4 linked regions of the Drosophila melanogaster genome follow. The gene in region 1 interacts genetically with each later gene. Each region holds a gene or a part of one and is shown in the gene's direction. Other genes may lie near its edges. The genes, in order: sktl, Pld, rdgA and PRL-1.

Evidence for each region.
Region 2: of sktl (region 1) and Pld, changing one suppresses a phenotype caused by changing the other (phenotypic suppression), as found in Drosophila melanogaster (one study listed by BioGRID).
Region 3: of sktl (region 1) and rdgA, changing one enhances a phenotype caused by changing the other (phenotypic enhancement), as found in Drosophila melanogaster (one study listed by BioGRID).
Region 4: of sktl (region 1) and PRL-1, changing one suppresses a phenotype caused by changing the other (phenotypic suppression), as found in Drosophila melanogaster (one study listed by BioGRID).

Annotation. Positions count from the first base shown.
Region 1 is NT_033778.4:20,831,251-20,839,168, reverse strand, and holds the start of sktl (skittles), read left to right. Parts: upstream 1-3,140; 5' UTR 3,141-3,499; intron 3,500-6,750; exon of another isoform or gene 6,751-7,385; intron 7,386-7,918. UniProt on the Drosophila melanogaster protein: Catalyzes the phosphorylation of phosphatidylinositol 4-phosphate (PtdIns[4]P) to form phosphatidylinositol 4,5-bisphosphate (PtdIns[4,5]P(2)), a lipid second messenger that regulates several cellular processes such as signal transduction, vesicle trafficking, actin cytoskeleton dynamics, cell adhesion, and cell motility.
Region 2 is NT_033778.4:6,242,089-6,250,411, forward strand, and holds the start of Pld (phospholipase D), read left to right. Parts: upstream 1-3,423; 5' UTR 3,424-3,489; intron 3,490-4,175; 5' UTR 4,176-4,345; coding exon 4,346-4,496; intron 4,497-7,323; coding exon 7,324-7,930; intron 7,931-8,250; coding exon 8,251-8,323.
Region 3 is NC_004354.4:8,921,859-8,930,192, forward strand, and holds the start of rdgA (retinal degeneration A), read left to right. Parts: upstream 1-3,325; 5' UTR 3,326-3,838; intron 3,839-8,334. Other genes in the region: CG12661 (uncharacterized protein), read right to left, coding at 1,365-1,760; CG43255 (uncharacterized protein), read left to right, coding at 2,109-2,516. UniProt on the Drosophila melanogaster protein: Required for the maintenance of phospholipid turnover within the photoreceptor.
Region 4 is NT_033779.5:16,251,257-16,259,519, reverse strand, and holds the start of PRL-1 (PRL-1 phosphatase), read left to right. Parts: upstream 1-1,913; 5' UTR 1,914-2,444; intron 2,445-3,364; exon of another isoform or gene 3,365-3,470; intron 3,471-7,731; exon of another isoform or gene 7,732-7,761; coding exon of another isoform or gene 7,762-7,890; exon of another isoform or gene 7,891-8,263. Other genes in the region: EndoGI (endonuclease G inhibitor), read right to left, coding at 258-1,271, 1,341-1,406; CG46309 (uncharacterized protein), read left to right, coding at 7,762-7,890. UniProt on the Drosophila melanogaster protein: Probable phosphatase. Inhibits growth possibly by negatively regulating Src64B-induced growth. Regulates central nervous system circuit formation and stabilization of synapse-dense terminal arbors.

The DNA of each region.
Region 1 (7,918 bases):
CCACATTGTGCCAGTTCGATAACATTCGACTGTGGGCAAACGAAGTTATGCATAGGTAAGGTTATGAACTCCAGAAACGCTGCGCCATTAGTTCGGTCTATAAATAGCCAGCAAATGCATGTGCCCATAAATTTCACCAGTGCAGCATATCGAATAATGCTCGACTTAATTACACATGGGGGTAGCAATAGCAATGCAGGGGTGCAGACAGCTGGCAGACGACGCGACTCGCAGTGGCACAAATGCACTTAAGTTTTCTTCGCTCATCGCTCTGCTTTTTTTTCGGGGAGGAAGTCGTGGCATACGGCACACATCACTGCCACCGAAAGGAGGGATGTATACTCGTAGTACCTATGTGCGCTATATGGGATTGAACTATGGAACAGGCAGAACCAAACTTGATGTGCATAACTCAAGAAACTGTGTCAAATATCCTTTTTGAAGTGTCGAGAAATACAGTTTAGCTCAGTCTTTAAACGAATGTTATTTTGCTTTCCCAATGTATCTTGACATATATAGTTTGAACATCTTAAGGCGAAAAGGTGCGCAGAACTCAGGTAAATCACGGCATCTGCAACCCTTAGCGAGTGCTCACTGTACGGCAATTGCATTGTAGCTCGCGCCAAAGTCTGGCAGCTGCCGTCTAGATTTCGGGCCTCAGTCTTAGCATCCAAATCTCAACCGGAATCCTTCGCAGACGCAGGACTCATTCGCTCAGTCAATGCTCTCATTGGGCTCTGGGGATAATTGCTGCCAAACGACGTGACATTTCTCCCTGACAATCCTTTGTGCATTCTGCCCGGCATTTCGACTCATTCTTCTCCGTCATCTGTAGCTCAGTTGTAGTTGCAGTCATACTAGTACTTACTATGGATGTTGTTGTTGTTATTGTCACTCCGTGCAAATTCAGGCAGCTCGACAAACAGAATGAAAGACAGACACAATTTATGTTTGTTCGAGCGGTGACGAAGGAAGTGAAGCTACACTGAGAAAAATTAACTTAGTTATATGAGTTTTAGTTTTGGAACTAAGCCAAGAACTTATAGTTCTTAGAAATATTCTAAAGATAAGATCATACTTGCTTGGTCTTGTTTAATTTCACATCTATGTAACAACCAAAATGGTGTTCCTTGCACTTAAGGTGGATACGTTTCTCTCAGTGTCCTTTTATGGCAGCTGCTCCGGCTGAACTGAGCTGAGCTGCGAGGCTCGTGCATTTCGTTAACGTGACAAAAATACATTGATTACATTTTTTTTAGCTGCACTCGACTCGGGGATCTGCGTTTTTGGGCTCTAGGAGCTAGGAGCTGGGATCTGGTAACTGGGAGCTGGAAAACTGGGTACTGGGTACTGGGAACTGGGACCTGGGCGCACGTCCGCACACTTGGCACATTTGTCAGGGCGACGCCGCGATGTAAACATCTTGCACGTAGGATCCGGGGTCCTTTTGCATCCTGGCTGGATGGCACGACAACTAGTTGTAGTTGGAATCGGAGTCCTCGTGCTGCACGGGGTCTTTGAACTGACAAATTACATTGACAACGAATGGGGCGAAATTCCATTCGTGTGCACTCTGAACTCCAACTCCTCTAGCTCCCCAGAACTGTCTCATTTTGTGAGGCTCCACACTGAAAAGTTTGGGGGTCAATGCCATGGCATTTCATATAAACAAAAAGTTAGGCATAACTGTCAGCAAGCAAATAAAATAAACAAATGTCAATAAATGACAATTGATTGTGCTTTTCAAAGTTTTCGGCCCAAACCATTATTAGTCAAATCAGATTGTCTATTTAGTTTACATTGTGTTAATGATTTAAAACTCTCGGTTTGGACACGATTTATTTGTATAGCCATTTGAAAATGGCATTTATTGTCATTTTTTTTTTTTATTGCTACGCGTTGTTAAAATTTCTTGAAAGGTGTCAATAGCAAACAGATGTTAAACGAGATACAGTATTGAATATTGGTTTTATTCTATGAATTTCGATCCTTCATAAGCGAAACATTGTTTTCATTTGTTAGTTTCAGTGCACTTTGTTCATTAGTTGTTTGTGGATTTAATTTGCTTACTTGGCTCTGTGCTTTTGCTTATTGTTTCAGTTAGTTTCGCAATTTGGAAACTATCTCAAATTGGCAATAGTGAAAAGAGCAAACACATCGTGGGCTCCTCTTAATTATTTTCACCGACGAACGGGTGGGCGATCGAACTCTTATGGCTGTAATAATTGGTGCAAAATTGTTCAATTGCCTAATTGCTGTCGATTGCTCATAATTTTTAGTGTAACACTGTGTATTTGTGGCACATTTTCGTTTTATGGCCACGAGCGTTCATGAATGAATGGGCTTTATTTACAGGGCATTTAAAAGTTTCGGGTAATCTTATCACCCAGAAGTGTTCAAACTTGCGCAAGTCATCAAACAAATTTCGAAACGGAAATACCAAAGGGTTGAAATAGTCTAAACGAAAAGATAACTGCCTTAAAATTGCGCCCAAAATTCGCACAAAATCGCAGTAACAATAACAAGCGAACCTAATCAAAAATCCAAAATCTCAGGCAGCTGCGCATGCGTAGCAGATGAAAGAGATAGCGAGAGATCGCACCTTTGAAAATGCTACCGGAACAGCTGGCGCAGAAGAGCGAGAGGGAAGACAGGAGTGAGTGATAAGAAATAGCAACAAAAGCGCATAAACCACCACCAACTACTACAACAACGAACGCGACAAAGCGAACAATGCTCTTCATTATGCCCGTTATTATTAAACAAATAGGGAGAGCGAAAGAGAGAAAGGTGAGAGCGCACCATGTTGATAACACACCCCGTGTAGCTAAAAGTTAGCCAGATTCACAATTAAAGGAGCTAGAAATGCTGATATATGCTCAATTTGATTTATGATCACCTATAAAAACTTGATACTGATAATAGCAGCTAATAATACTTTAATTTTCAGTACCTTAAGACACATAATTCAAAGTATGCACTCAATTAAAACATTGTATTAGATATCCTTAGCTAGAAAGTAGTCAAGCTGCCAGCACTGCCTACCTTACTCACCCAGGTAATTTGACTCCGACTCTCCGGCTTACTGCTCTCCCACCCCGGGAATTAGAAGTCTGAGTCGAAGTCGCCAACTGTAGCCGCTCATTCGATTCCCAGCAGTCGAAGCACGCAGACGCAACCGCTGCGATCGTCGCGAGATATTTGTGTTCGATCATTGTTTTCGTATCGTTCGGGTTAACCACGTTCGTTGAGTGTCGTGTCGACTTGTGTTTACCGTTGTGCAGTGTTAAACTATTTACGCTTTGTCTTGTGGGTGCAGCACCCCCACCACCCAGCCACCCACTACACATACGCACTGTCAAGTTTTGTGGTGCCCAAAAGTAATCAAATGACACGTGCTTGAAATACACATTTTACTATCCATCAGTGGCGGCCGAAACAACAACAAAAGCATAAGCCAAACTTGGGATTACCTCGGCATTGTTTATACAGGAAAGCGGTAAGTTTTGGCCACAATAAACCGTAAAGCACATTCGGAATGCTTTGACCCCAATAAGCTTAACAATAAACACAAATATTCAATACGATTCCGCATACGCCCCTCGTAATTACACATGCCTTAATTCACATAATCACAAACTACAGACATATGTATATATTTATGTACCTCCGCCCATTTATTGAAGTAAATTCCGATGGTTTTTATTTTTGCTCATTCGAGGACCTCGCTAAGCCGCGTTTTATGACTCAGGAGCCTCACAAAGTCAAAGTCGTCAGACCGCAAACTGATTTCGTTCGCTTTTCTCCGAATGTTCTTTATAACGTAGATCCCACAAATGAGTCATCCGTGCGCTTGGGGATACCGGAGTGGATACATAACTGCCTGAGATACGTATGTATCGTATAATTGGGGGAGGCAGTGGGCTAAGGTGACTGATCAGGTTGATGGGGAATGAATGAGCTGGGGGTGCTGGTGACTAAGCCCCCAGCATTGGATAACGCTAATTGGGTTGGGTAAAGAAATGTGTGCACACAGATGTGATAGTCTGCTGGCTAGGAAAGAGTCACCTCTAAGGCAGTTGTGAATGGGTTACATTGAATAACATTCCAGTCAGTCCTCAAAAATATCCAGTTATGTAGCTTGAAATAAAAAACATTTCTAAAAGAAGATTTTTAAGTTTCTTTGAATGTTTTGGTTGGTCTCTTACATTTTAATCAGCTTATGCATTTGAAGAAGTTGGCTTTCGCCACCTCGAATACTTGTTATCTCGACTCATCTGGAAACCTCAGAATATATCAGTGGCACGATTTCAATCTCACCGCATTGTGGTGTTTCGCAGATTTCCCTAATTTCAGTTTGCCCGCGCCTAATTGCAATAATCAAGGGAGCACCGCATAATCTCACTGATCTAGTTCCAGTTTAAGAGCGTTTCTGCGGTCTCGATGGCTCCATTAGAGTGCTAAACACCGGCCATTACGGCGGTCATCAGGAGAGGTGTTATTACCTGGACGTCTGGACGTGGAAACCAGTCGGCACTGGAAGTCACTCACCTGTTGCGGCCAAGAGATCGATATCATTGACAATTGGTGTCGACGGTAGCAGCAGTGGTATATAATGCCAGTTCGATATGTTGCTACCGTTAGATGGGAAATGCCAAAGCAATGATGATTGTCCATTTGAGTGGGATTAACGTTTAATTTGGCTTAGTTTATTGATTTTCCATCGAACAGGTCGGTTAAATGTCAGGGAATGTCGCGAAATGGAACATTTCGTCGATTGCATTTGCTAAACCATTTGCAACTCTTTGTTTTTTGCTCACTCATGTGTCAGTTTGACATTTTGCAACAATGGTCGATTCTATTGAACGGATTATGGCTGCCGCGACTTGAATAATTGCACGGTTTTAATGCGTTCATTCAGTTTTTTACATAATTAAATGATTGTTTAAAACTGATTTATTATTTAATTGTTTGCCACTCGAACGACAACAATTAATTATGCAATGGCGCAAAGATGCGATATAAATAAATAATAATTTCATTATAATCAATGCAACAGCTGCCAGTGGGCGCAAGTGATGCGCGGAAGGGGCGTGGCAAGCAATTAAAATTTATTACTCTTATTTTGCATTTATTCCATTTTAATTTGTCGTTTAAATGTCAAAACTATTAAAATAATTATGCTGGATGCCGGATTAATCAATGCTCTGGCCTTTGTCCAATCGATTTTGATCTGGTTGGGCCGTAACTTTTGGTTAATTAATCGGGGTTACGAGCGGGGAAATTTACCCCATCCACCCCATTCAACTTTCCCCCATTTCACCTTGTGTCCAATTTGTGCGGCTGACCCCAATGAGCCAAGTTCAGTTAACACTTAACCACCCCGCATATTAACTTAATTATCATGATTAACATTTTCTGTGTAATTTCTGTATTTTCGCTGGCCGTTCTCAGTTGAATTTTGCGATGCAATTCCCATTATTCGTACCTTTTAAACTGACCAGAACTTAAATTTGTTATTCAACACGCTTCCCTCGCTTTTTTTCTGTTTTTTTTTTTCTTGATTTGTTTATTATGAAATGCTTTCGATAACGAACCATTATCATATCTTCATGCGATATGGCAAAGAGTTCCGTTGATTTCTTTCTGTTTTCGCAGATTGAAGTGCATAAATTATTTTGTCTCTATTTTTAAATTAATTGGCAGATTGTCGCAGACTTTAGAATTCTATTTGGTCGCAAACTTGTTTGGCGACAACTCTATTAGGCATTTGCATATGAATTTCGACTGCCTTTTGTGCCTAATTAGCCGGCAAAAGTACAACGAACTTCGAAAATTGTCTTATTTTCTTAGTCACGAATTTAATGTACAATACATCAATTTCTACACTATGCAACACACCCAATTAAGTGCAATTTGTGACTTTGTGAGCCTCATTAACTCATCGCATCTCAGCTCAGCTATTTCTCCTCGTGGAAACCGGATTGTTAGCTAAACATTTTTTACATTACTTTGCCTTTGCCTACTAATGAGCAGAATTACTCATGACTGGCCCATGTAGATATAAATATCGATTGAGGGGCTGTTTTTCAATCAATTTAAACGGCGTGCCGTGGCAGGGGGAGGTGGTAATGAGACAAACGAACCACAGAAAAATTCAGTGGTCAAGGGCAGAGGGTCCTGAAATGCCTTCTTCACCGGCTTCGCTGGCTAATCCAATTAGAATTGCGCCGTCGGCTGGGAAGTCGTCTTTGTAGGTGTTCCCTAATTAGATTGGTGTTGTTCGGCCGCAAAGCAATTCCTGTGAAAAAATTGAAATTATTATTTGAGTCTAGATATCCACACATTTCTCTTCCAAATATAGTATGAATCGCACGGCCCGCTTTTCGATCTTAAATCCTAAATCAAGCTGCTTGAAATGTAACGAAGCTTAGGCAAATAGTAATAAAAACTGTTTTTATTGTATGTTTTTCTTAAATAGTTTTAAACTACTAATCCGAACAATTTTCACTTATTTTAACACAAGTAGTTTGCATTGTAACTGACTTTATAGCAGAATTAAAAATTTTTTATAACAAGTGTACGTGGCACTTTACAACACTGCGCTTTGTTGCTGATCAGCAAAGACTCTCTCCGTGGTGGGAAACTTGGAAACTAGCAGAAGGTAAAAAAAAAAAACAATGTAATGAAATAATACCGCAAAATATACCGCGCAGCACAAAATTAACTAACGCCAGCGCAAGCGATAAACGATAACACGCGTAAAAATCTTCTGCGCGAACGACTCATCAACAGTTTTCTCTTGCCGAGAAATATTTGATTTTCGCCTGGTTTTAAAGTTCGCGGAGTGGATACATTGCAGCGGAAGGCTCTCGAAAAATCGGGTTAACTTTTGGCGGACGACGATCGCCGATTGAAGTGGGTGTGGGAAAATGCAAAATGCGGCACTTCGATGAGGAATATCCAAGATTGCCGCACGACGACGTCATCCTCAGTCACAAACACACACGCACACACCACACACAATAAACCAGGTGTGCACGGAGAATTCAAATTCGTTGAGATATTGTTGTAAATTATGAAAGCAATTTATCAAGCGGAAAGTGGAAATCGAAAGAGCTGGATAAAAGGGGAAGCAAAAGGAGGAAGTACGCCACAAACAACAACAGCGACGGCGGCGGAGCGACAGAGAAAGCGCTACAGATAAACGCGCCTTGAGCCGATCAACGAATACACAAAGCGAGCGAAAGAGAGGTGCCGATTGAAAGAAAGAGAGGGAGACGGAGAGGAGTAGAGAACAGCCGAGGGCAAATAATTATCTCTTTTCGCTGGATATCTTTCGGTTTTTTTGACCTCTAGCAAACTATTCCCTCGAGCATTTCTGTGTAAGTACGCTAATTAAATTACAAATAAAAACGGCAAAACGCTATAATTGCAAGCTCATAATTCACAACAAATGGTCCCAAGGCAAAAGCAGCCACAGCAACAGCAACACAACAACAACGACCACAAAAACGAGGGTCAAGTGGCAAGTTATTAACTTTAGAGGGACTTCTTCCATTTAAATAAGATCCAACGTTATTGCTAATAAAGCAACTAGCCTCGCACATTTCAGTTAGTTTAGTTTCATTCACTGAATTTGGCAAAACTTTCCGTTGTTAACGTACAATTATTGTTGTTTTTGTTCTATTTGACGTGTCATGCGTGCGATAAATATTAAAAAAAAAAAGGAAAACAGACACGAGGAAAGATATATAGGAGATGCCGCCGACATATCCGCCGAGCGACAATCTAAAAGTTTACGAAAATAAACACACACGAGCCAGCTGAATGGCCTCCCACTTATGATGCGCCCCCTGCCACGCCCATCGTGGCCATGTTTTGGTTTCATTTTCCATTTTTCAAAATACAACAAGCC
Region 2 (8,323 bases), about 15 Mb from region 1:
TTTAAGTGAAAGGTTCGAAGTAATTGTTAATTGAAAAATAAATCAAATGCAGTTTAGCCTGATCTGAGGAAAGAAAGAACGAGTGCTAAGCTCAATGAACTTTCACTCTCCGCTCTCTCCCTATACATCGCGCTTCCAGCGAGAAATCTCTGCTGATCGTTCTCATTTCCACGTTCGCTTGGCGTTTTGATCAGTTTCGAATTTGACTTATAGCGACGCTGGTCGGAGCTCTCTCGGCAAACAAAAACCGTGACAAGCAAAGATTTGAGCAAAGATTTGCCCAGAAGGGGTCTTGCTCGACACCAATAATAAAAATGCCGCGATAGAAGTGTGTGTGCCATTGACCAACATTTTAATATTTTTAAATTGTTTCTTGTGTGCTCACGAAACGTGTTCATGTGGCGCCTCAATTGATTTGATCTTATTTCACCAATTATCAAAGTGTTAAGTCTGCCATACGAAAGCATTTAAATGAAGTAATACATATGTATAAATGTACATATATACACTTAACCCACTGCTGAGGTCTCCAGCTTTCAGTGCCAGTTTGGAGTCCACGACGGAGAAGTTAAGCCACAACTTCTGGCATCAGATTAAGAGCTAAACCTATTTCAGCAGTAGCCGCAAGCATGTGAGTGCTTTAAATTCATAAAAACACATTAAAGTGCGTATTTTTAACTTTATTTAAATTGATAAATTTTATACCATTGATTGATTTATTTTATACCAATATTTATAAAATAGTTGGCCTGCTTTGGAAAAAAGAAGATGGATAAAAGTTGCACAAATAAAATGTGTGAAACGTGGTAAAAACTTGTGAATTTTGTGTCCAAAAATGGTTTAACATATATTATTACAATATCATTTAAACAAATTGTGGGTTCAGGCAGTTTAAAATTTCAATATATGGCAAAAGGCAAGTTAAAATTTTTCCCCAAATCATCAGACACAAGGACACTAAAATAAGTTTTTACTTTAGAAGTCACCCAGAACCATGTGCTGGAAAATGTTCTCCAACGAAGCTTCGGATTTTAATAATCATTAGGTACCAGTTGCTAATCAATTTTAGATTAAATATGCTTTTAGATAAGGATGTTGTCAGGTGATATTATGGATACGTATGAACATATGTTGCTACTTATTCTTGTTTAGTCCCACATCCCTAGATCAGTTAAAGGGTATACTAGATTCTTTTAAAAGTATCCAACATGTAAAACAAAGTCTTTTCGACCAAGGAAAGTATATAAATTCTTGATCAAGATTATTAATTGAGTCGATTATGTCCGTTCGTATATCCATTTGAACTTCGGGATCTCTGTACCTATAAAGGATTCAGCATACAGATCCTAAAGACTTTCCACACGTATGCTTATTTCCAAACGTAGCCACACCCAATGTAACGTCGACACACTGCAAACCATTTTTGGCCCTGATTTTAATTTCTTGGAATATGAACCTCTAAACCAATACTCTGTCTTTAATGACAGGAGCGGATTATAGAAGCACATTTCTTATCTTATCACTATTTATGTATATTTCACAAGTGTGACCAAGCTAATAGTGATATTAGTAAAATCTAATAGGCAACGCATAGACCTAAAGAATTAGAATGTGGTTTCCCACAACGATCAAAAAAAAAAATATTAAAACATTTTCAAAAGGTGTGTCAGTTTTGGGCGGTTGTGGGCGTGCCTCTAGAATCGTTTTATCTAATCTCAACTCTCTAGCTATAATGGTTCCTGAGATGGTGGTGTTCATACGGACAGACTGACATGGCCAGATCAACTCGGCTATTGGTTCTGATCAAGAATATATATACTTTATAATAATAAATAAATAATATACTTTATATGGTCGAAAACGTTTTGTCTGTTACATACTTTTTAACGAATCTAGTATACCCTTTTACTCTACGAGTAACGGGTACAACAAAAATGCTATATTCGACTTATGTTCTGACAGTCAGATACCCGTTACTCAGTTAGTGGAAATGGTGAATTGATTGAGAAAATATTTAAACAAATTTGAAAGTATGGGCGTGGCAAAAAGTTTTTTGGTAAATCGATAAAAATTTACAAGTGTAATAAAAATATAAAAAAAAATTTGAAAACATTTTTTAAAAGTGCAAGGATGTGCAAGTTTTAGGCGGCTATAGGCATTAGGGGGGCTTGGCAACTTTCTATCTGTTATATTTTGGAAGTGACAAACAGGTTCTTTTTTCGTCTTGGGCAACTATTATAATATATTATATTATATACTAAATAACAAGTTTACAAAGAATTCACTACACTAGTAATAAAAGCTATCACTACTTCAAAGTTAGCAGACCCAATACGAAATTCAATGACCAAATAGAAGTCAGCACCAAAACTTAATTACTTAAAAATTTCTTTGAGTGACAGAAGGAAAACTTATATTAGGACAGTATATTTCTTAGATTAGATTTATGGAAGATAACAATGTACTAATTTCTGAATTGTTTAAATAATATCGAACGAGTCAACTACCTTATCCAAACCGCTACCGGAGCACTATCCCTTCGAAAGCTTAGTCTCATTTCTCAACAGCTAACTATAATTTGAAAATATTTAGAATAAAGTTATTGTTCGATAGGCTCATGTTTTTTTTGGGATGAAAGGGGATTTTTATTAAATGTCCGAAAATAATTTTTCGTCACTAAAGTTTGGTATGGTATTTGGCATGATGCGATCGTCAAATGTTTTTACCGAGTCACTAACTTGGACATAGTCTCTAAAACATACTTTTGATTTTATTTTTACTTAGTTCCGAACTAGGGGTCAATAATTTAAGTTATTGAAATTCAGTTGCCCCGCGTGGGACAATCTAATCGAATGCTAATTGTAATTCGGTTATTTATCCTGCGCACTTCATTGGGGTCGTACAAATAATGAGTTCTGATTACAGCGATTGTGCCCAAGTCTAGTGTTGCCGATAAGATAGCCGCAATAGATACTAAGCAGAGCTACATGCACACCCAAAGTGCCGTTGTGACTCATCGACTCCTCGACCATTGTTGCGGGTCCGACAATAGGCCTGTACTCGATCAGCGATTTTTAAAAGGTGTGTGAACCGCGCAGAAAGCTTTGGAAAGCTTGTAGAGTTTGTGCCAATGCCTCGGCAGAGAACTTGTTCTTATGGATTGTGGCTGACCTTGCCGTAGAAGCCCATTATGTTTTTATTTGCATAATACCTTAGAACAGTCGAAGGGTTTTCGGGCTATCGCATTTCAATATCTTGGAGATTATGAAAAGCTTTGCCAGCTGTTTTGAAGTTCGCAGCTGTGCTCTGGAAAACTCCCTCTCCATTACCAACTTGCGGCATTGACGCTCTCGCCGTAACCGTTACCCGTTAACCGTTTTGAGCTCGGCGACCTAAGCTTTTGGCTGCGTCGCGAGGTTTAGTTAATATTATTAACCGGAGTGACGGCCAAGTTGTCGCAACGTTTCTCGTGGATCGCAGATCGTGGCGGTAAGGCGAGCTTTTTGCCGGGGGCTCAAAGTGTGAGTGTGAGGTGTCTTCAGTTTGGTTTTTTTCACATAGCGTGGCATTACTCTCTTTGACGAATTCAATGCGACGTCGCGCTTTTTTCGGTTCTGCAACTTCCGTTAGTCGGTGGCTCGAAAAGTAAACAAAGTGCTGCATATCGCATGCAAACGTGACAATCTTTCAGACGCACTCCAACTTGATAACTTGATAAGCATCTGTGAGATGCAAAGATACAAGTTATAAAGCACCATCTCGCGAAGCCATGTAGCCGAGTGAAAAAAGTAAAATATGCGAAAGCAGAAAAACAAAAAATTTGTGCGTGTGTTAGTTGGCCATTGTGCAAACCTTTAATGAGCTGGAAGCGCCAAAAGCCAAATACCAACGAATATAAAGAGCACGCGAAACATTCAGTTATATTTGCAAAACTTGGTTTTGTGTTCACGCAAAGATAACGATATGCCATGATAAAAATTTAATTAATTATTTTTCAATGCAAGGGATATAAAAAAAGAAAAGTATACACGCTGTGACTGAATGAAACTTGGAAGGCAAAATTAATTTAAATGATTATTTTCGTGGCGCAAAGTATCCTTCCTTCCTCTACTTACCTCCACGGCAATAAGTCCATTATACACAAACGCGGTATTTATAATTTGTGGTTTAAACAGCCTCCGCAGGCCGCAGAACGGACATTTTTCACGTAGGCGAACTGTCGATGCGACTGAGAAATGCAAAAAACTGGAGCCGACAACAAAAGCTTCCTATCTATAAAGCCAAAAACCGATTGCCAAAAATAAAATAGAGCCCATTAAATAGCCCGCGTAAAGCGCACACAACAATGATGGCCACGTGCTTGGATACCAAAACCAGCAAGAACCATGAGGCCCAGCAACTGCAACTGCCCCGGCAGGCGTCATCGAACGCCAACTTGCCACATTTGCAGGTCCGACGTCATCGCCGCAGCATCTCACAGCTGATGGCCAGCATGGGTAATTTTTAGATCTGAAGATAAAGATATTTTCATTTGCATAGATTACTTGGTTCTCGTAGAGCGGCAATGAAATATGTGCGTCATCGTGAGATGAGATAAGAGTGATCATGTTTGCTAAGATATTTCAACATTTAGAACTGGTTGGCGGTAGGTGTTATGGTATGCGAAAGTGAAAAATCATTCTGCACCAAGTTTTCATTGTTTCAATTTGGGGCGATTTATAACAATGAGTGTGCAGTCGAACTTAAATAAGTGTAGTAGTGTAGGGAACCAAGAACTGATAACGATTTCATTGCCTAAATAATAAATTAGCCGAACAATACCCGTTTCCTTTGGATTATATAAGCCTTTACCCACTTATTGCTTCCATCAAATTGCGTGTTGGGCTCGGCCTAACGGTGCAATTAGTAAATGAATCATAATCAATTTTAAAATGCATGACGCGCTGCAAGTAACGATACATGCCGATATTGTTAAAAATATATCGAGCCTGATTTACATTTGTACTCATGCTCGATCATTGCAACAGGAAGTTTCGATTTCTTTGCAATTGTGTGTAGGTCAGGTGAAGCAAGCGATCGGTGGGTTTAATAACCTTTTCAGTAGACCGGCCACTGACAAAACCCGCTAAACAAAGGCGATTCAAAATGAACGCCCTCGGTCTGAGGACATTTTGATAACGGGCATTAAATGGAAAGCATTAACATTCCTGCAAAAAAAAATACAATGCATATAACAGAATTTTTCAGTTAAATCAAAAATGTTTAAGTAACATTTAATTCGGCAATTTAGAACTAGTTTTTTTTCACACCAATGCCCTATCAATAGGAATGGGATACCACAGCTTTATTCGCCACCATAAAAACGTATTATTGTGGTTGGAGTTTAGTTTTTTCAACGAAAAATTGTATATTCTTGAAACAAAATGGGGTTACTTCTATTCGTCTTATCTGTTAGTGATAAAAGTGTCAAGTTTTTTTTAAGTTAATTTGCTTGCCAAAACCAATGAGCCAAAACTAATGAGTTCGGCAAATCGCTTTGAAAGTGAAAAGGTGTTAAGAAATTATGGTTCTTTTATTGAGTACGGTGTTACACTTATTATACCGCCTTAAATTTCTGAAAACGGCGGCCGATGATTGAATAATAGGTCCAAGGTTTAATTATATCCACAATTCTCTTTAACGATTCGTCTAATCAAATACATTTTTGATGGACTTAAATTTTTTTATTTTTTCACTTTTATCACAAATCATGGAACTCGAGCATTAAAGAAGTTTTTGTTTTTGCCTCCAGAAGTTTTTGTTTGGTGACTTGAAGCTGATAGCAAAAAGAGCTTCGTGATAAGGCATATGCCAACACTCGTTATTTTCACTACCCATATAATAACGAATTCAATACCAAGAATTTATGCCTGCCAGTTGAACTTGCCCATAAGCTAGCCTGTGTATGTAAAAGTGTGGTAATAAAACTTTGATGGCACTTATTATGATAGGGTATCATGGAAGTGCCCCAATGTCATTGATCATTGACGGCCATTATCAAATTCTTTGCACTCGGCGTTCCAGTTTATTTTAATTATCACAAGTGATAAGGAGCAATCGTAAGTTATGACTCGTTCAATTGTTTGATAAATTAAACCAACAACTTCTGAAACAGTATCTTAACAAAAATTTTCAGGTGTCGCTACCTTTTTTTTTTAAAAAACCATTTTCGATTTTTGAATTTTAAATATTTCTATACGCGGTACTCAGCGGACAGAAATAAAGTTACTCTGTGAATAGGCGAATAGGACAGGACACCTGTTATTGTCTGCTAATCAAAGCACTTGACTAAGTACTGATTTATTCTGTTTATTACTATCGTCGATAACTGAACCTGTGCACTTTTGCAAAGCCGTGCCGCATCCATAAACTCACTTAACCGTCATTGGTTGGCCTACCTACTGTGCAGTATGGCCTAATCTATTTGTTGTGCCGTTTTATTTGGGCTTGCTATCTAAATGTCAATCAGCTAGAAGCTGATTGCTCAAGTATTTTGGGAAAACAGAACAGTAGAGATTAGGACAGGTATATGGCAAAACTGTATCTCCAAAAGATGCGTACGATACCTAATATTCTCCTCTGATTTGCGTTCTCAGCCAGTAGCACTGAGCTAAGGAAAATGCTATACTTACGGGCGAAGGAGGTGCGTCGTGTGTATTTAGCTTTAAATGTTTTCAAGGTTCGAGCAGGGTTCCTATGTCAAGTTCAGCCGACCATAATGCATTAAACTTAACTACACCACATGTCGTGAGCTCTGACCTTGAGCGAGCTTCTGTTTCGAATGTAGATAGCACTTGCTAATTATTACCATTTAATGGTTACAACACAGGCCGTTCAGCCGGGGGACATATCTCAAAAATGTTATATTTACATTCATGGCTTTTCGAACATCAAACAATTTAAATTTTATTATTAGACTAGAAAAATATATACTTCAAGTTATATAAAAAATGTTTTTAATTTATGTTTACCAGTATTTTTAAATGTTGTGCCAATCTTACCCAACATGAAATAGAACTTACACATGTACTTAGCATGGCTGGGAAACTGACAACTAAAGGTCACCTAGCCATTTAATCTATTTTATGTTAGGTAAAATCACAGAGGGAACTTTACATTTGCAACTCTTTTTGATTTTACACAAATAACACATGCCGCAAGTATCATGGGTTTGAAATATAATTGTGATCGTCATGGGACTCACCAATACTTCTAGTTTAAGGTTAAATCTGTTAAAATTTATTGTCTTCCTTACGCCCATTCCTTTTATCTGTCATCTTGCAGTTGAACACCCCACTGACGATGTTTACCGGCCGGCGCACTATGGCGGCTACGTTAACAGAGGCTACGATGATTTAGACAGTTCCTACTACTTTGCCCAGTACGAGGCGATGGCAGATGCCGGCACCGTTGGAGGCGCCTTGCCGCCCTACGCACTTACCAACTCGGACGAAGAACATGGCAGCGGGGAAGAGGACGCGTCGGAGGAGAACTCCAACAATGAAGAGGGAGAGGGAGTGTTCCGGGACTGCACAGACGAAGCGGTTGTCGAGCATCATAACCGCTGCCTGCCAGAATTTCAGTTCTCTCTAGTCGATTCTGAGTACGATGAGACCCTCGCTTTTCCTGATTCTGTGACCATTCTATCCAACGTGGGCGACAAGCCGGTGCTGGTGGAGCGCAAGGAGACGGACGATGATGAGGAGGAGTTCGACGACGAGGAAAACAACAGTGTAGTCCTGAGACACGAAATACCATTTACTAGCATATACGGGCCGAGCGTCAAGTTCAACTCGTTCCAGCGCAAGGTTTTCATCCCGGGCCGTGAGATTCATGTTCGGATCGTCGATACGGAGCGTAGCGTCACTACACATCTGCTAAACCCCAATCTGTGAGTGAAATCCAATCATATTCATATAGGAAAGATGAGTAAGAGGTTATACTAAATACGTTAAAACGGGAGCGTTTTTTACATATGTTCTTGATTGGGATCACCAGCTGAAGCGATCTGACCGTGTCCGTCCGTCTGTCCGTAGAAGTGGTGAAAAAAGACTTGCCTACGCTGTGCAAGTTTGTTTTAAAACGTGGCCACGCCCTTTCTAACAGCCACAAATCCCCCATGCTGTTATCATTTGTCTTGCCAATTTTTATTGGTACGCCGAAAACATTTTGACCAAATAAGAATGACATTACTTTTTTTCTTTTACGCAGGTACACAATCGAGCTGACCCACGGTCCCTTCAAGTGGACGATCAAGCGGCGATACAAGCACTTTAACTCGTTG
Region 3 (8,334 bases), on another chromosome or scaffold:
TGAAACTTTAACTGGGGAAACTCCACATAGAATTGCAATACAAAGCTGATTATCGGTAGTATCGATACGTTTGATATTTGCTTGTCGATAGACATGAAATATAGATCAAATATGGCTGACCTAATTACTTCCTCATTTAAGTAACTAAATGGTCCCGTCAATTGAATGAACAGTTCACTATTTCGTTTCTTTTGTCTTAAACTATGAAAATCGATTATTTCGATAAGTGTACAGTTTTCACAATTGGTTATCGATTGCTCAGGCAGGCAGACGCAACGCTGACCAATTTCCACGGTAATTGCAGCGCACTCATTGACGGACAGGTCGTAGATGCCTTTTTCAAATAATGTCTACTTCGTTGCCTTGCTTCGAACCAATTTGAAGACCTCCTTGTTTCTCCTTGCCGTTTCCTTCCTCTGCTGCAATTGTGCGCCGTTTTTGGCGCCCAAACTTTGGTGTGCCTCGCCTGAAAGTATGCCACATTGCCCGTGACGAGGAGATTATTGCTATTGTCGTATCAATTGGAGTACACCCCAACAGCCTAGCAAGGAAGCTAGGAACTGCAGCTGTGGTCAATGCTGACCCTCGGACTAGAGTCAAAAGAAGACTCAAGCGACACCACCCTCATGACCTCCCTAACCTGGTTTTGACCTAGAAAGTCTTAGTTTTAAAATTCATTAGAATAATCAAATAAATAATAATTACTATGTTATATCAACTATTATAATTCTCCCTATCATTTTTAGGATTAAAAATCTGTTAGTCTTAAGTAACCAAGACACATTGTAAAATAAAATAATTTAAGCAGATCAAATTAAGTTGCCGCATGGGTAACAGTGCGTTGATCAAATAATAAAAACATCATCGTAATGGAAAAAAAAAAAAAAAAAAAAAAAAATCAATTGGTAGCATTTACATGCGGCGCGTTTTTCTCTATGTTGCTGAATAAATCACAGACCATACGAAACATGTTCGTATGAATAATTTGTGGACTGTATTGCTTTTGGGCCATTATCCTTCGATGGAATGAGGTCTCGTAATTGCTTTATAAAAAGCATGTTTTTGGGTCACCAAAAATTGCAGCATAATCGATTAAATTAGTAAATAAATCAATAAACATTTCCTCGGCCGATTGGCGACTGGTGTTAGATTACTAATTGCCGTTTGGCATTAATTAAGTCGCTATTTAGCAATTAAGAGGTGTTTGATGGCATTTAAGGAAATCGGTGGTTCACAGTCCATGATATTTTTTAAATGAATTTTTGAATAATAAATATAATATAAAATAATATAAATTAAGACATTTTTGTTTAAATCCAACGAATATAATTTTAATTAAATCAAACCATAAGTGTTCTGTTTTGCTAAACACCTTTCTCCAGGGTATCTCGCATAGCCCTAAACATTTCGGGCAACAATCCCACATGGCTATCCACGCAGTTGCTGGTGCAACGTTCCAAGCTATAATCGGATCCATTGAGGCGGCACTGCTGGATGCACTTCTCTAGGCGATTCTCAAAATCGGATATACCCTGCTGTACGAAGCAGCGTGATCGGGTCAAACGGATTTGGCAGCGATCGATGCACCGCTCCACCGCCTCCGCATTCGCGTCCGCATCCGCACAACAGGCGGTCGCACATCTGTGCATCTCGATCTGCAATTTGCGCAGATAATCCCGATCCAGATCCTCCATGGCGGTTAGGATTGCATTGTCAACGCGTTCTCGCTTCTCCTCCAAACTCGAATTGTCACAATCCATCTCGAGTAGTATAAAATTTATGGAAAATATAAAAGTCGGTTGGTAATTTTCGTTTGACTGCCCTTATTTGAGTTACGCAAAACGCAATGCTACTTTGGTTTTGTAATAATTTCTTCAATTTAAATAATATATGAGCAGGAAATGGGCGACTCGCAGTGTTAAGTAAGTTAGGTCATGTTCTTGACTCTTCTTGGGCAAATTTTTAAACTAAAGTCACGGCATTGACATAACTCAGTGTGAAGCTATCTCTAATTGAGTTTGAGTTAATTTGTTTTTTGCTGATAAGTGCACTACTGAAAGTGTATATAAGTAGAAGTTGGACAACGTGGCCGTGCATAGTTTTTAAAAATGCATTACTTGCATATCTTTGGGCTCTTGGTCTTTTTGGCCGCTTTTGGATTAAGCCTTGAACGTCGTGATAAGGAATTCTACGGGATATCTAAGGAGCAGCTAACGACTACTAAACATAAAGAGAATTCTGTGGAATTTGTACAACACAAGATATCCTTGAAGCTGCCGCAGAGATACAACCGATTCAAACGTCAGTCCTTTACGCCATTTGAAAGGCGTGTGATACGTTTACTACGTAAATTGGGCTTATTAAAAAGCGATGCTGAACAACTGTTGGATACTCTCGAAAAGGACAAGGATCTATTACGAAGATTGAAGAAGTTACTCGACGAGGTCGACACCGAACATGAGACCAATGATTTCCTTGAAGATTTCTTCGATTTAATATTTTTCAAAAAAATATAAGCAGCTTTCTTCCTGTTGTTAGGAATGATATTGATCGATAACAATATTGCCGATTATACCGATAATTAATGCCATAAAATCGTTTATTTAAATTGTTTTAGATATTGCAAACAATCTGATTGCTAATAGCTAACAATATCATTACGATAATCGTTTGGATTATTCTAATCCCTTACTTCCTCCATCGCCCTCACACGCCATCACTCTCTCTCTCTCTCTCTCTCTCTCGATAATTATCGATAGTTTGGGCACTTGTGTTGGACCAACTTAAAACACCGCACAAATGATTGCCATAAATTTGATGGCAACAAACAGCGACAACAAAAACAAAGAGTAGCGCTGCCGCCCGCACTTTCTCCGCAGTTCTCGCCATTTCTCCGCTCTACTTTCTCCGCTCCTCTCTCCACTCAATAATGTGCCAACTGTTGAGTTTCCTTCCGCTTCCGAATGCGAGCGCGAAAGAGAGAGAGCGAGAGCGAGAGAGGGTGTGAGACAGAGACGGGGCGAGCGGGAGTATGTGGGCGTTGGGCGGCAAAGGGTGAGGGAGTGAGAACGATACGGCCACTCGCTCGCTTGCTCGCTCTCGCTCTCTCTCTCTCCCTCCCTCCCTCTCTCCCTCTCGCTCTCTCGCCGGCATCGAAGGCTGCTTACAGGTGTTTATAGTACTTCGGCTTTTGCCGACCACAGCCGAAGTTGCCGGCCGATTGCTGGCCTCTCGCTCGCTCCCGCGCTTATGCTCAATAGCGCCCTCTCGCTCCCGGTCGCTTTATATTCCTGGCAATGCGTCGCCTTCGCATCAGTTTCATTTGAACGGTCGACGAGGCGCGTTGTTCTAGAAATAAATAACTCATTTAAATAGCAGAACAGCCCAAGCAGGCCAAACATTTCAAAGCAAAATACCAAAACTCTCTGGAACTACCAAGTTCTTAAAAAAAAACACCAACATCGCCCAAAACACAACAAAAACATCGCATACCATAAGAAAAACATAAACATACTGAAAAACTTACAATATCTAAATATAAAGTAACTATTTTTTTGATTGTGCTTCTAAGTGTTGTGCTAAACCAATATTAACTTGTACAAATATTCGAAAATATTCAAAGATATTCCAAAGTATTTATTCAATACTTGAAATATAAGCTACGATACAAACTTAAAACTTAAAACTATGTAAGACTAAGATCTAGTTTTTGTGCTTTTTGAATCCTAACTGTTAACGTGTAAAAGCACGCAAAAATGTGCACGAAATTTTGACTTGATTCGAACGACTGAAAAGTGCGTTCCATTGTAAAGAAAAACTAAAGCGGCAAACCGAAACGGTAAATATGAATATACTTATTGAAATTCATTGAAAAATTTCCTTGGAAAATTTGTTGATTAATTTCGTGATGTGAGAGTTTATTTGCCGTGTGTGATTGTGAGCAGCGTGTTTGTATTGTGATTTTTCGGAAATGTTTTTATATTTAGTCTTCAAATGGGGATTCCCAGATTTATTTAAAGTTTCAGCTACAATTTTTGGCAAATATTCGTAGTTTTAGGAAAAGCTCCACAGAATATTGTATTGTATGCTTCAGTTAATAGAATCACGCATGGAAATTATCAAGAATTCGGTTCTCAGCTTGTTGTGTTGAATTTGATGAGTTTTTTTGGAATATCATAAAATATAATCGGATTTTATAGTTTACAAAGAGTTTCAAAATTCCACAGATGTAAAATAGTTGACTCGAATTGCTTGAATATATTAATATATCTTAGTTTAAAGCAGTAATTTTTTAAAAATTATTTAAAGCTCGAGCTCTTTTTAGGCTCCACAAATATGTGTGCAACAATGTGTAATTTTGAATAAAATTCCGTGGAATGCCCTTTGCTTTTCATTCTGTATAAATTCAATTACCAACATTCTCATTGTCTCAGAGTATCCCCCTACTTTCGAATGTCTGTGTGTCAATAAGATGATTTAATGAAAAATCGTCTGCAATTTCGGTTCGAAATTCGGCAAAAACACGGCGAAACAAACTCGTTACGCATACGCCGTGTGGGCAATTGTATTAAACGATGCCATTCATTGAAAATTGCTGGCCAAAGCGAGCGGTTTAGGTTTTTTTTAGGCCACTCCGGTTAAGGATTTGGGTGTGCTCTTGTCGGCCAGCCAGTCTCGTTAGCCGAACTTGTTGCCACATTCGCATCCGCACTGGCATCCGCAACGACATCCGCACACGCATCCTTCGTGTACGTGTCCTTTTGCTAATCGGTGCGTTTAAGGAACTGCATGCTGGAGGATGTTGCAGCTCTTGTATTGGCGCGTGACCGGCTTTTCTCTGACATAAGAGCGCGAAATGGCGAAAATAACGTAATGGCGAAAGGCGGCACTCTGTGCGGTTGGCAATCTTTGATTTCGCATTTCCCCGGTAACAGGGGAAAATGTCAGACAACGTGGCGTATACGTGGCATTTGTGTTTGTGCTTCCGCTCGTTTGTTGTCCTCAAGTTTGCATTCAACGACGAAGGCACTTCGTCGCGGTAACCAAGTGTAAATATACAATTTAAATTTCTCTAAGGAAACTTTAAATTTATATATTTTTTTTTTAATCAATACGAAGAATTTACATTTTAAATCACCAAAGTATAAACATGAATGAAGCCTGCACATATTTGTAATAATAAATGTGTGCGCTTTGAAATGGTTTAAAGATTTTTGTTTTAGGCGACTTTGTTTGTTTCTGAAATAAAGAAATTGCTACCCATTTGTCTTGCGTACATATAAAAACGCGATGTTTCAATTGTTGATCCACAATTTTTTGTTTGCTCTTGTTTGCTTCGCTTCACATAAAATATTCAATTTTCATTTCTTGTCGCTTTTTTTTTATTCGTGACCCAGGGGTTGGGTTCGCATATAAAATCCAATAAAAATACACATAAAAATTGAAAACAAAATACAAAAAAAAGAAGAAAAAAAAAAAAACAGAAAAGAGAATGAAAATGGTCGAAAGATACCGCGGGCTATTTGACAGCAACGAGGGGGAAACACGTATGCATCGCATTTTGATTGCAGATTGTATATCCATTTGTAAGGGTGTTTCCTTTGCCAAAAGCACCGTGTTAATTAATAGAAATTGCCATTTGAACAATTTTTGGGAATTTCAATATCGAATGGAATTGCATTGCAAACCAAACCAATTACCAACCAGTGTGGTAATTTATTCACCATTTTTTACCCCCACAAAAATTTCCACAATCAATCATTGTTGTGTGTGGCAGTTTAGGTAGCTCAAAGAAGCTGGGGTCGGAAAAATCGAATTTTTGAAATTTGAAAGCTGGAATCGTTTGCCCATTTTTTGCCCATGTTTGCCCACCAATTAGTTTTTTTGCCCACGTCCAGTTTTTGAGATATGAATTTTCGAAAAAGTTCGAAAATTTTCGAAAATCAAAAATTTCGCTTTTTTCAAAATTTTTTTTTTTAAATCGCAATAACATCGTTTGCCCACGTTTGCCCACCCTTTAGAATTTTGAAAAAATTTATACTTTAGAAAATATAAGGCTTTTAAGTTTACCTCGGTCTAATCAGAGAGTAAATCGTTTGCCCATCTCTTAAAACCAAATATTATCAACAAAAAACGTTTGCCCAACCATTATTATTAGTTTTTATCGTTTGCCCACCCTTTAAAAAACCTTTAACAAAAATTTTTTTTCGATTGCCCACATTTAAAATACAACCAATTTCCTTAGCCCACCTCTTTAAAATAAAAATTTCCAATAAAAAACGTTTGCCCACCATTTAAAACTAAATAATTTCGATTGCCCACCTTTTAAAACTAAATAATTTCGTTTGCCCACCCTTTAAAATTTGTTTTTTTCGTTTGCCCACCTCTTAAAAATGGTTTTTTCGATTTTTCACCTATTAAAAATAAATTTGTACATATGTATGTAATAATTGTAAGATGTGGCGTCAAAAGCACAGTTACTTACAAAAGAACAGTTATTTACATATTTACATACATTTTCAATATATCCATAGTGTTAATCATTCATGAATTGTAACATCAATTTTTCTTAATCATTGTTTCATTTCATGGAAAATATTTTATATTGCAATATAATATATATGCAAAAAAATGTATGTATGTTTATCAACACCCTCCAAGCTCAAGAAAATTCTGGAATAAAATATTTTCCATGAAATGAAACAATGATTAAGAAAAATTGATGTTACAATTCATGAATGATTAACACTATGGATATATTGAAAATGTATGTAAATATGTAAATAACTGTTCTTTTGTAAGTAACTGTGCTTTTGACGCCACATCTTACAATTATTACATACATATGTACAAATTTATTTTTAATAGGTGAAAAATCGAAAAAACCATTTTTAAGAGGTGGGCAAACGAAAAAAACAAATTTTAAAGGGTGGGCAAACGTTAAAAATGAATTTTAAAGGATGGGCAAACGAAATAATTTATTTTTAAAGGGTGGGCAAACGTTAAAAATGAATTTTAAAGGATGGGCAAACGAAATTATTTAGTTTTAAAAGGTGGGCAATCGAAATTATTTAGTTTTAAGAGTGGGCAAACGAAAAAAACAAATTTTAAAGGGTGGGCAAACGAAATAATTTATTTTTAAAGGGTGGGCAAACGTTAAAAATGAATTTTAAAGGATGGGCAAACGAAATTATTTAGTTTTAAAAGGTGGGCAATCGAAATTATTTAGTTTTAAGAGTGGGCAAACGAAAAAAACAAATTTTAAAGGGTGGGCAAACGAAATAATTTATTTTTAAAGGGTGGGCAAACGTTAAAAATGAATTTTAAAGGATGGGCAAACGAAATTATTTAGTTTTAAAAGGTGGGCAATCGAAATTATTTAGTTTTAAGAGTGGGCAAACGAAAAAAACAAATTTTAAAGGGTGGGCAAACGAAATTATTTAGTTTTAAAAGGTGGGCAATCGAAATTATTTAGTTTTAAATGGTGGGCAAACGTTTTTTATTGGAAATTTTTATTTTAAAGAGGTGGGCTAAGGAAATTGGTTGTATTTTAAATGTGGGCAATCGAAAAAAAATTTTTGTTAAAGGTTTTTTAAAGGGTGGGCAAACGATAAAAACTAATAATAATGGTTGGGCAAACGTTTTTTGTTGATAATATTTGGTTTTAAGAGATGGGCAAACGATTTACTCTCTGATTAGACCGAGGTAAACTTAAAAGCCTTATATTTTCTAAAGTATAAATTTTTTCAAAATTCTAAAGGGTGGGCAAACGTGGGCAAACGATGTTATTGCGATTTAAAAAAAAAATTTTTGAAAAAAGCGAAATTTTTGATTTTCGAAAATTTTCGAACTTTTTCGAAAATTCATATCTCAAAAACTGGACGTGGGCAAAAAAAACTAATTGGTGGGCAAACATGGGCAAAAAATGGGCAAACGATTCCAGCTTTCAAATTTCAAAAATTCGATTTTTCCGACCCCAGCTTCTTTGAGCTAGTTTAGGTGGGTTGTATTGATAACATGGCTTTGGGGGGCATTTGGCTAAATAAATATTATGATGGAAAATATCAGAACGACAGCGTTGGAATGAAGTCCTACCTGATGGCATTTTAAGTGGAAAACAATGTTGCCGCACGGATCTAGATTTCAGTTGCATTGTTATCGTATCAACGATACGGTTTTATATGCGCATCCATTGGGATTACTTCGAGTGCGATGCTATTAATCAAAATTTCTGAAAGCAAAATTCATGCAGCTTGGCTTTTGTTTAAAAGAGTTTAAGAGCCCAGTTGGTTTTAAAAAGAAATAAAGCCAATTTCTTGACTCAAAATTTGTATA
Region 4 (8,263 bases), on another chromosome or scaffold:
TTTTAAATGCTTTAAGCTATTGAAGAAATATGAAGAGAACAAATAATTTGTTACTGATCGAGATAATAAAAAGGACCACTATTTTTGAGAACAGTTATAAAATACTTATCATTTTATTCATTTTTAAACAATTTCTAACATTTCGAAACATAATTCAGATATTGAAATGCTTTACTGTGTGTGCCTTCAGAGATTACGACCAGAATAGGTGTTTTAGTACATAAGGAAACAATCCTTCAGTCATGAAAGATGCACTACTAATCATCATTTACAGGTCCTTCAAAGGGAGCCTTGCAACCAGCCTTTTCGTAAAACTCGAATGGCAGCGGATCCTCGTTGTCGTAATAGTCGGAATCGCGGGCGCAACTGGGACCAAGTTCCATTTTCACCATCTTGTCGCGCCAAAAGTCGAGAAGCTCTTTGGTGAGAACCTCATCCCTCAGATTGAAAATCCAACTGTTGTAGTCGTCGGGCCCATAGAAACCAGCATCACCCTTGTACTCCTGCAGCAGCTCGGCGGCCTTGTTTTGATCCTCCGCTGAGGGTGTGCCATCGAAGAGCAGCTTCCAGATTATCTCCCTGGCGGCTGCCGCTATCTTCTTCACGCTGGCCTGGTGAACGCTGTCCGGAACGATGATTTTGGTCAGAACAAAGCGCTTCATTAGAGTTCGGTATTCCTCGAGCGGATTTTCCTTGGTCAGGGTGGCCTCAAATTCGCCAGACAGAGCGGCGGCATCATCGGCACTCAGTTCACCCGGAGTTGTAGGCGTCGCTGGCCCATCCTGATCCAGCGAAGCCTGCTCCTCGAGTGCTGCGCGCACCTTTAAGCTGGCTGCAAATGGAGCGGTACAACCGGCATGGGCATAGAACTCCAATGGCGGGGTGTCGTCGCTGTCAAAGAGATCACTGTCGCGTGACCAACAGGGACCGAGTTGCTTCTTCACCAGCACATCGCGCCAAAAGTCGAGGAGTTCCTTCTTTAGAACCTCATCCCTCAGCTTGACAATCCATTCGTTGTACGGCGTCGGGTCGTAGAAGCAGGCGTCACCACGGTATTCCTCCAGCAATTGGCTGGCCTTCTCTGTGTTCGATTGCGAGGTACCGGCCTCGTCGAATAACAGCCGCCAGATGACGTCACGCGCCGCTGCAGCCGTTCGATCGAAATTCTCCTTGGTGACATCATCATCCACGATTTCGTCTACCTGCACGCGTGTTTCGATAAGCTTTTGGTAATCCTTAACGGGATCCACCAGGCCAATGGTGTAATCGTTCTGTCCAGACAATAGTTGTTATTGTTTGTAAACTATTTTTGTTTATTTTCTATGGCTGTTGCTTATTACCTGTGCTACTTTCTCGGCCGTTGCCATTTTGTCGGATTGTGTGTCCTCGGCCTTGCGCTTGGACATTCCCCTCTGGATAAATTGGCGATTTAAGGTTCTTCGAAGTAAAGCGTTTAAAATCGTTGGGCTATTGATCGTCACTTCTGTCGGAAAGAGATAAGATGACTAATTCAGATCGCCGCTTGCTGTTGCGATACTACGAATGTAAATAGTAGGGTAGTTCTTTTCAATAGAGAATAATTTTAATTGGAATATTCTCGGAAGGACAGACCAAGAATCAAAATAAGACGACTTATTGGATGAATAAGAAAAGAAAGTATGTGACATATTGAAAATATTATATATTTTATGTCGGTTTATAAATAAATATATATGTATATATATTGTACAACTTCCTTTAAAATCACATCTTACATTTAAAATAAAAAAAACTGTTTTTAAAAGACAATTGCAAAATAGGTAATTAAATTATTACAAAAAAGTATCGATTCTGCCCGCAATCGATGTTTATCTAACACTTAATTGCACTCGATACTATCGGCTCTATCGAGTGTTCGAGATTATCGAATATAATCACCATCCGTGTCTACCAACACAAACGAGCGAATTGTTCGCAACGCCTACTTCGATTACAAGTACTTTGCTCTTGGAAATCGGTAGAAAAAATTGTGCAATCCGTGCTGGAAACTACAGATATTATTTTCGCCCGATTAATTCATGTCAAATTGATAGATTCATCTTATACCATTGGTTCCGCCCCGTGCTGACTGTGTTTGTGTGTGTGTGTGCGTGACAGACACAAAGAAATTTGAGGTTAAGCTGCAGATGAATTTTGCGTTAATGTCGCTGAAAAACCAAAGTTTAACAATCCTATTCAATAAAAAACACTTAAGCTAAAGATACAATCAATTTACAGTTGCAATAAGAGCAATAGTTGTGTCGTAAAAGGCAACACACACCAGCCAATTGCATTCGTGGAATTCGTGTCGGTGAGAGTCTCGCGGTGCGTCTGTGTGTGCGTGTGGACGTGAATTCAATTTTCTCGTGCACGAAAAGCAACGAAAAAGCTTCAAAAGTTATACTCAAATGTGTATGGCAATTGTGGTAAGTGCGGCAGGGGATCGGCTACAGCCGCAAGTTTTTAAATAATACATTTTTGTTGCATAAATTGTTTCGAACGTCAACGAACACTCGCACAACTACTGAGCCACAAAGTATGTGTGCTTGTGTGCGTGCGTTGGCATTTACATTCAATTTTTTTCGTTTAAACAATTTCTAACTGGATTTTGTTTGTTTTATTCGAAAAATAGTCTTAAAAAACATGTTGGCATTAGAAATAGTTTCTGGAATTTGTTTAAATTTTTTTTTAGTATATATCAACCAGTTACATTTTTATTTGTCTGTGCAAAAACTATAAACAATTGTCATCTTGTAAAACTAGAATATGTTATAAACTAATTGTGTTTACGTTTTTTATAAATATGAATGTGAACTTTTTAAATGTATTCTTCTCAAAATACCAACAAATCTGTGTAATTGCTATGAATAATATTCTTTTCTTCGCAATCAAATTAATCGAATTGCAAATTCTGCTGTGCTTGCATAAAAAACGTTAAGGAAAGTAATGTAATGTCCCATTTGTTATCATACACAACAATCATATACTTCAATAAATGGGTAACTTCACGCATTTTACTTTCATTCGACCCAGTTACCTGGTTAACTGCCTTCGCCAGTTGAAAATAAATGTCAGCTGACCCAGTTTTACCATCCGAACGGAACTAGGACGGGACCAAAACTATTTTGCACTGCACCAGTTAAAGTTTATTTCTCTTATTTTTTTTGGCAGTTTTTATCATCTTCATACGTCATTTGCTAGGTACATACACGTAGATTCTAATCTAATATCTAATCTGTTGAAGACATTTCGAGCAGATTTATATCATATCAAAGCGGCAGAGCAAACAGTAAACAAAAGACATGGCCGAGAGAAATTGTTTTTTTTAGAACAAAACAGCCAAATCAGTTGGCATTTTATACTGAACAAATGTGGACGGAGCAAAGTTGTAGTGCAAAAAGATTGCCTTCGTTCATAGCTTTCAATTTTACAATCAGTTGTTACTCAACAAGGTTTGGCTGTGATTTGCTGTTATCTCGAATTTTCGCATTTTTTCCACCTGTGTTTATCTTGATCGCACTGTTTGCTAATCGATATCAGCAAATTGCGTCAATTGGTATTGAAAGCGGTATAAGCGGTATAGAAATGGAACCTGGCAACTGAAACTGTCCCATACGCACCAAAGGAATATCAATTATACGCCAACCGGTGGTTGAAAATCCCAACGATATCCATTTTTTAACCGGTTCTCTTGTCAGATTTCTTGTGCTCTCTCCCTTTTATTTCCGTTTGGGGTCTCTTGTCCTTGAACAAGTTCAATGATAGTGCCCCGGCCACGGCAATACAAACAAAAGAAAGAAAAGAATCTCTTTCGGTTTCATTCTCTCTTTTTATTTATCCGTGATAAAAAAGAGCGAGCAGATAAGCGTATCAGCCAAGGGAAGAATTTTAAAATCCGGTTTGACTTTATCAAAAATATACCGAACAAACTCATACGAAAAGACGTCATAACTTGAACGCATCGATTACAAAACTCGATTAATTTGGTAGGGTTCCTTTCAATCATACAGATATACATTTTTCAAGATTGAATACCTATCTATCTAGCATTGCATTAAATTCCATTTTCTTATCAAGAGTACTACTACATGTATCTCAACTCAGTGTAGAGATTACGTATACGCTTCTTGGTTATTTTGTATTCCAGCTGTTTGTATTTTGTTGTCTGGGTTTATCTGCTTTCCGCCAGTTCTAAAATATTCCATATTCCCACGCACACAATCGAATCGAAAGCCAATTGAATTCCTCGAAATGTGTGGCAATACTTTCGTTCATTGAAATGCTTCCAGCAAATTTGTTTGAGGTCATTTTGATTTAGTGCAATTTATTGGATCTTTCTGAACATCTTCAACATCTTCTTAATTTTTGTTGTTGTGCGATAAATTTGCTTACTCGACAATTACCGAAATTAAACTTATTTAAAATTTACAACTTTCACTGCTCCGTGATCTGTAACCAAATCTATAAATGTGTCAAGTTGTAATTATAGAAATTCTCAAAATTAATTGAATGTAGATAAATGTATATTTCACGGTCTTTTGAGGTCATACTCGTACAGTAGCGGCAGCTTAAATTCTACAGCCAGCTAATTAAATACACTCGCACATTAGTTAGGAAGAAGTCAAGAACTCGCTAATTAGAAATATCGAAGTAGCATGAGAGTTGCGAACTTTCAGACTACTTTTCGCGGTTATATATCATTGTGCTGTATTATTTTTTTTTTTTTTTTTACTGCTGTCACGTTTTGGCCGCTTGTGTGCAGAATTTCACCAATACATGTCATATCCAAAAATAGACCAAAAAGCGAACAACAAAGCATGCAATACGATTTACAAACGTCAGTGGAGGGTGGAGGGTGGTAGATTGGTGGAAAATGGGAGGGGAAAATGTCACCGACCACCCCCGGATTCTATATATAGTGCGCGATAAATGCGGCGCTGTTTGTCCTCAATAGTTTTGGCCTGCCCTTGGTTAAGGTACACAGTACCCAAAACTAACCAGGAAAATGGCACTTTTTTGTTGATGTACTATGCATGTATGTACGTAATCCTTGTCTGTAAATCAACCTTGAAGGACCTGCAATTTGTGGCAGGAGAAGGCATGCATTCGATAATTGCAATAACGAGACAAGATTGCTTATTTATTTTTGTTTTGGTTGCATTTTATCAAAACAAAACAACAACAGCTGTTTTCCGATTAAAAGTCGTTGATGACGCATGAGAAGTCGCCGCCTGGTGCGTCACGAAAAACAGCGCGACCACTTGGCAACTAGAAAAAGGCGGTTTGAGATCCTAGTTGCCCCCGTGGTGGGGCCACCATTTCCTGCTCATCTCCTCCTGGTTCGCAGCACTCGAGACGCTTCGGGGCAAACTTAAAATTTCCATTATGGCGAAATACGGAAATCGCGGATGGATGGAGATGGAGATGGTGTTGGTGCTGGGGCTTGGACATCGCCCTTCCTCCTTTGCTAGTCGCGCAAAATCAATAACTCGAGCTTGGTCTGTGTTTTTTTTTGCTGTCTTTTCATTTGACTTGGGTTTCCAATACCCATACTTATCTGATCTGAAAGCGTGCCGCGAATATCTAAGGTGAACAAAACTTAGAAAAGTTTTGGTTTTCATGTGTTTGGCAGTACAAAAAAGGTTCTTGCTTGCTTTATATCTATATCTATATCTATCTATATCTCGTATCTATCTATATCTATCTATCTATATCAATCTATCTATATCAATCTTCTTGACTATACATTTATTGTAAGATGAATTTATATCTATTGATCCTAAATCATTTACAATTATTCTCAATATTCATTTAAGATACCAATGATTCCAATGATTTAAGTTCCAAGTTGGTAACAGTGTACTGTTTTATTGAATGTTTAGTCTACCAGCTTTCTACCCCATGTAGGTAGCTAGTTTTTGTTTTTTTAATAAGTGTATAAGACTTAATGTATTCTTAGTGTCTGCGTTATGTCTGGCTTTTTTTTTCGGCACGTCTCCGGTTTTATTGACACCCGTGGACAGACTTTAGCTTAGTAAGTTGAGGCTTGAGTGGCAGTTACCCTCATCACATTTCCCGTCCGTTAGTCATTTTCAATTTGTTTACAACCTTTTACTACTATTTTTTGCAAGTCTGTGATTATTGGCGTAAATCGGGCGATCTTGTTTGCCAGGATTGCAGTCGAAGTCTAAACAAAAACTGAAAGAGGGGACAAACAAAAAAAAAAAAAAAGAAAAGGGAACTGGAATTGAAGTACTTTGAACCCCGAATCCAAACTCAGACACACCGGCATTCAGTTGTGTTTGCTTTCTTACCTCCAGATTTCATCGGTTCCTTGTTCTTTGTTTCCTTCTTGTCTGGCCCTCGGTCTAAGTCGTCTGCTCCTGTTTCGGGAAAGTCCAATCAACTTTCCGCACAGACAAAACCATCTGCTACCTCGGAGAGAACAAAAAGTATTTTTTGTCAAAGATACAATAGTCTGTTAAGAAGTTTTGTCTAATTGCACGAATATCTTTATGTTGATTTGAATCAAAAGTTTGATTTCATTAAACTCGTCGTTTAAAGACATTATGATGTATTAACTGATTGGAAAATGTATTTGAAAATCTGTGTATGTAGCGAGGAGCATTCAAGTGGAACAAATGTGTACATATGTATGCATGTATGTTTGTATATAGCGAGTAACAATATAGCCGCAATTTGGTATTAGTGTCGTCATGCCATTTGCCTACATCTCGATTATAATCAACTGGTTTAAATGTAAGACTAATTTCATATTAAGTTACACGTTTGTGTGCGCCGTAGCCTTCATTAACTGTGCATAATATAAACCGCATTTAGCTTTGTTTATTGCCCTTAAATAACGACTGACCTTGGCATCCCGTAAAAGTTATAATCTGACTGCAAAACTTTCCTTCGCTGTATTTGAACACTTTCCAAGTCAGGTAGCTAGATGGGGAAAAAAACCTTTATATGCTAAAGATCTTATCAATCATTTATTTATTCCCCGATTTAAAAAGCGTTTCCACACAGTTATTTGAATATCCTACGGATTATATGTCTATAAGCATTTTGGCACTTTAAAATACCAAGCCATTAACGCGAAATAATTTGTATTGGTCATAAATATAAGTGTTTGTTAGGTAATGTCAATATGATTTGCGTTTCTTCGAAAATACAGGTATATTCAAAATTTTAGTAGAGTTTATTTTCGAAACTTATTTCAGAGACGAAGTCGAAAAAAATATTTTAAGATCTATATTTAAAAAGAACAGAATACAAACTAACTTGTTGTCTAGTTTCTAAAATTAAACAATTTAACATTTTAAAATAAATACCCTCGTGATTTTAAATCAGAACTACTTATATTGTCACTACTATACCAGAACGAATAAAATGCTTTAAAATTTAAACATTTTTAGTAAGCACAAAATTCGCCCTTTCATGGTCCATTGAACTCTGCTAATTATGTTCAACAGTAGAAAAGTAAAACTAACCAAGCAAATTGTTTCTATTTTTCCTGCCTCTATTGTTTTTGCACAACAGACTTTTTAAAGCGCTTTAAATATGCACCAGACTGTAGATAATTTTTTTTCGCTCTCTGCGTGAGCGATTGGAGAGATGTGCGTCACGACTCTCTCTTCGTTCTCCCCGGCAATGGAGACTTACTGCCGGACGGAGCGGCCGTTTCCGTGGCGTAAAATGGGCGGCGAAGAGTTGACAATCGCCAGTCGATAGCAAAACATGAGAGAGTGCTCATCACGCAGCAATACGCGTCTACTTATTGTGGTAATCGTAATCGATCAACGTCTCAGAATCGACACTTGTCGATATTTAATCGAGATACTATCTCGCCGTATAACGGGCGATTAACGATAGGTAAATACAATTTATCCGCTGGCAAATCTGAATGTGGAGGACCAATCCTCAGTATATTCGAATTAACTGATAGGAGAGAAAGCTTTACGATCCGCGGATAAAATCGATTAGTGTCTTCCGGCAAACACCTGTCGATATCTAATCGGGAGTCCATATCAACGGGTTACAAGCCGCCCCGTCGTAATCAGCAACTAATCACTGTATTTGCTTAAATGCATAGCGAAATACCTATGTATATATAGATATTTACATATATATTTGCCTGTGTGATTTTTCAATTTCGCCAAGACGCAAAACAAAAAATACATTGCATAAGTCACAAGTAAAAACCGACTGGGAAATATAGCATCAACAAAAAGTGTTGTTG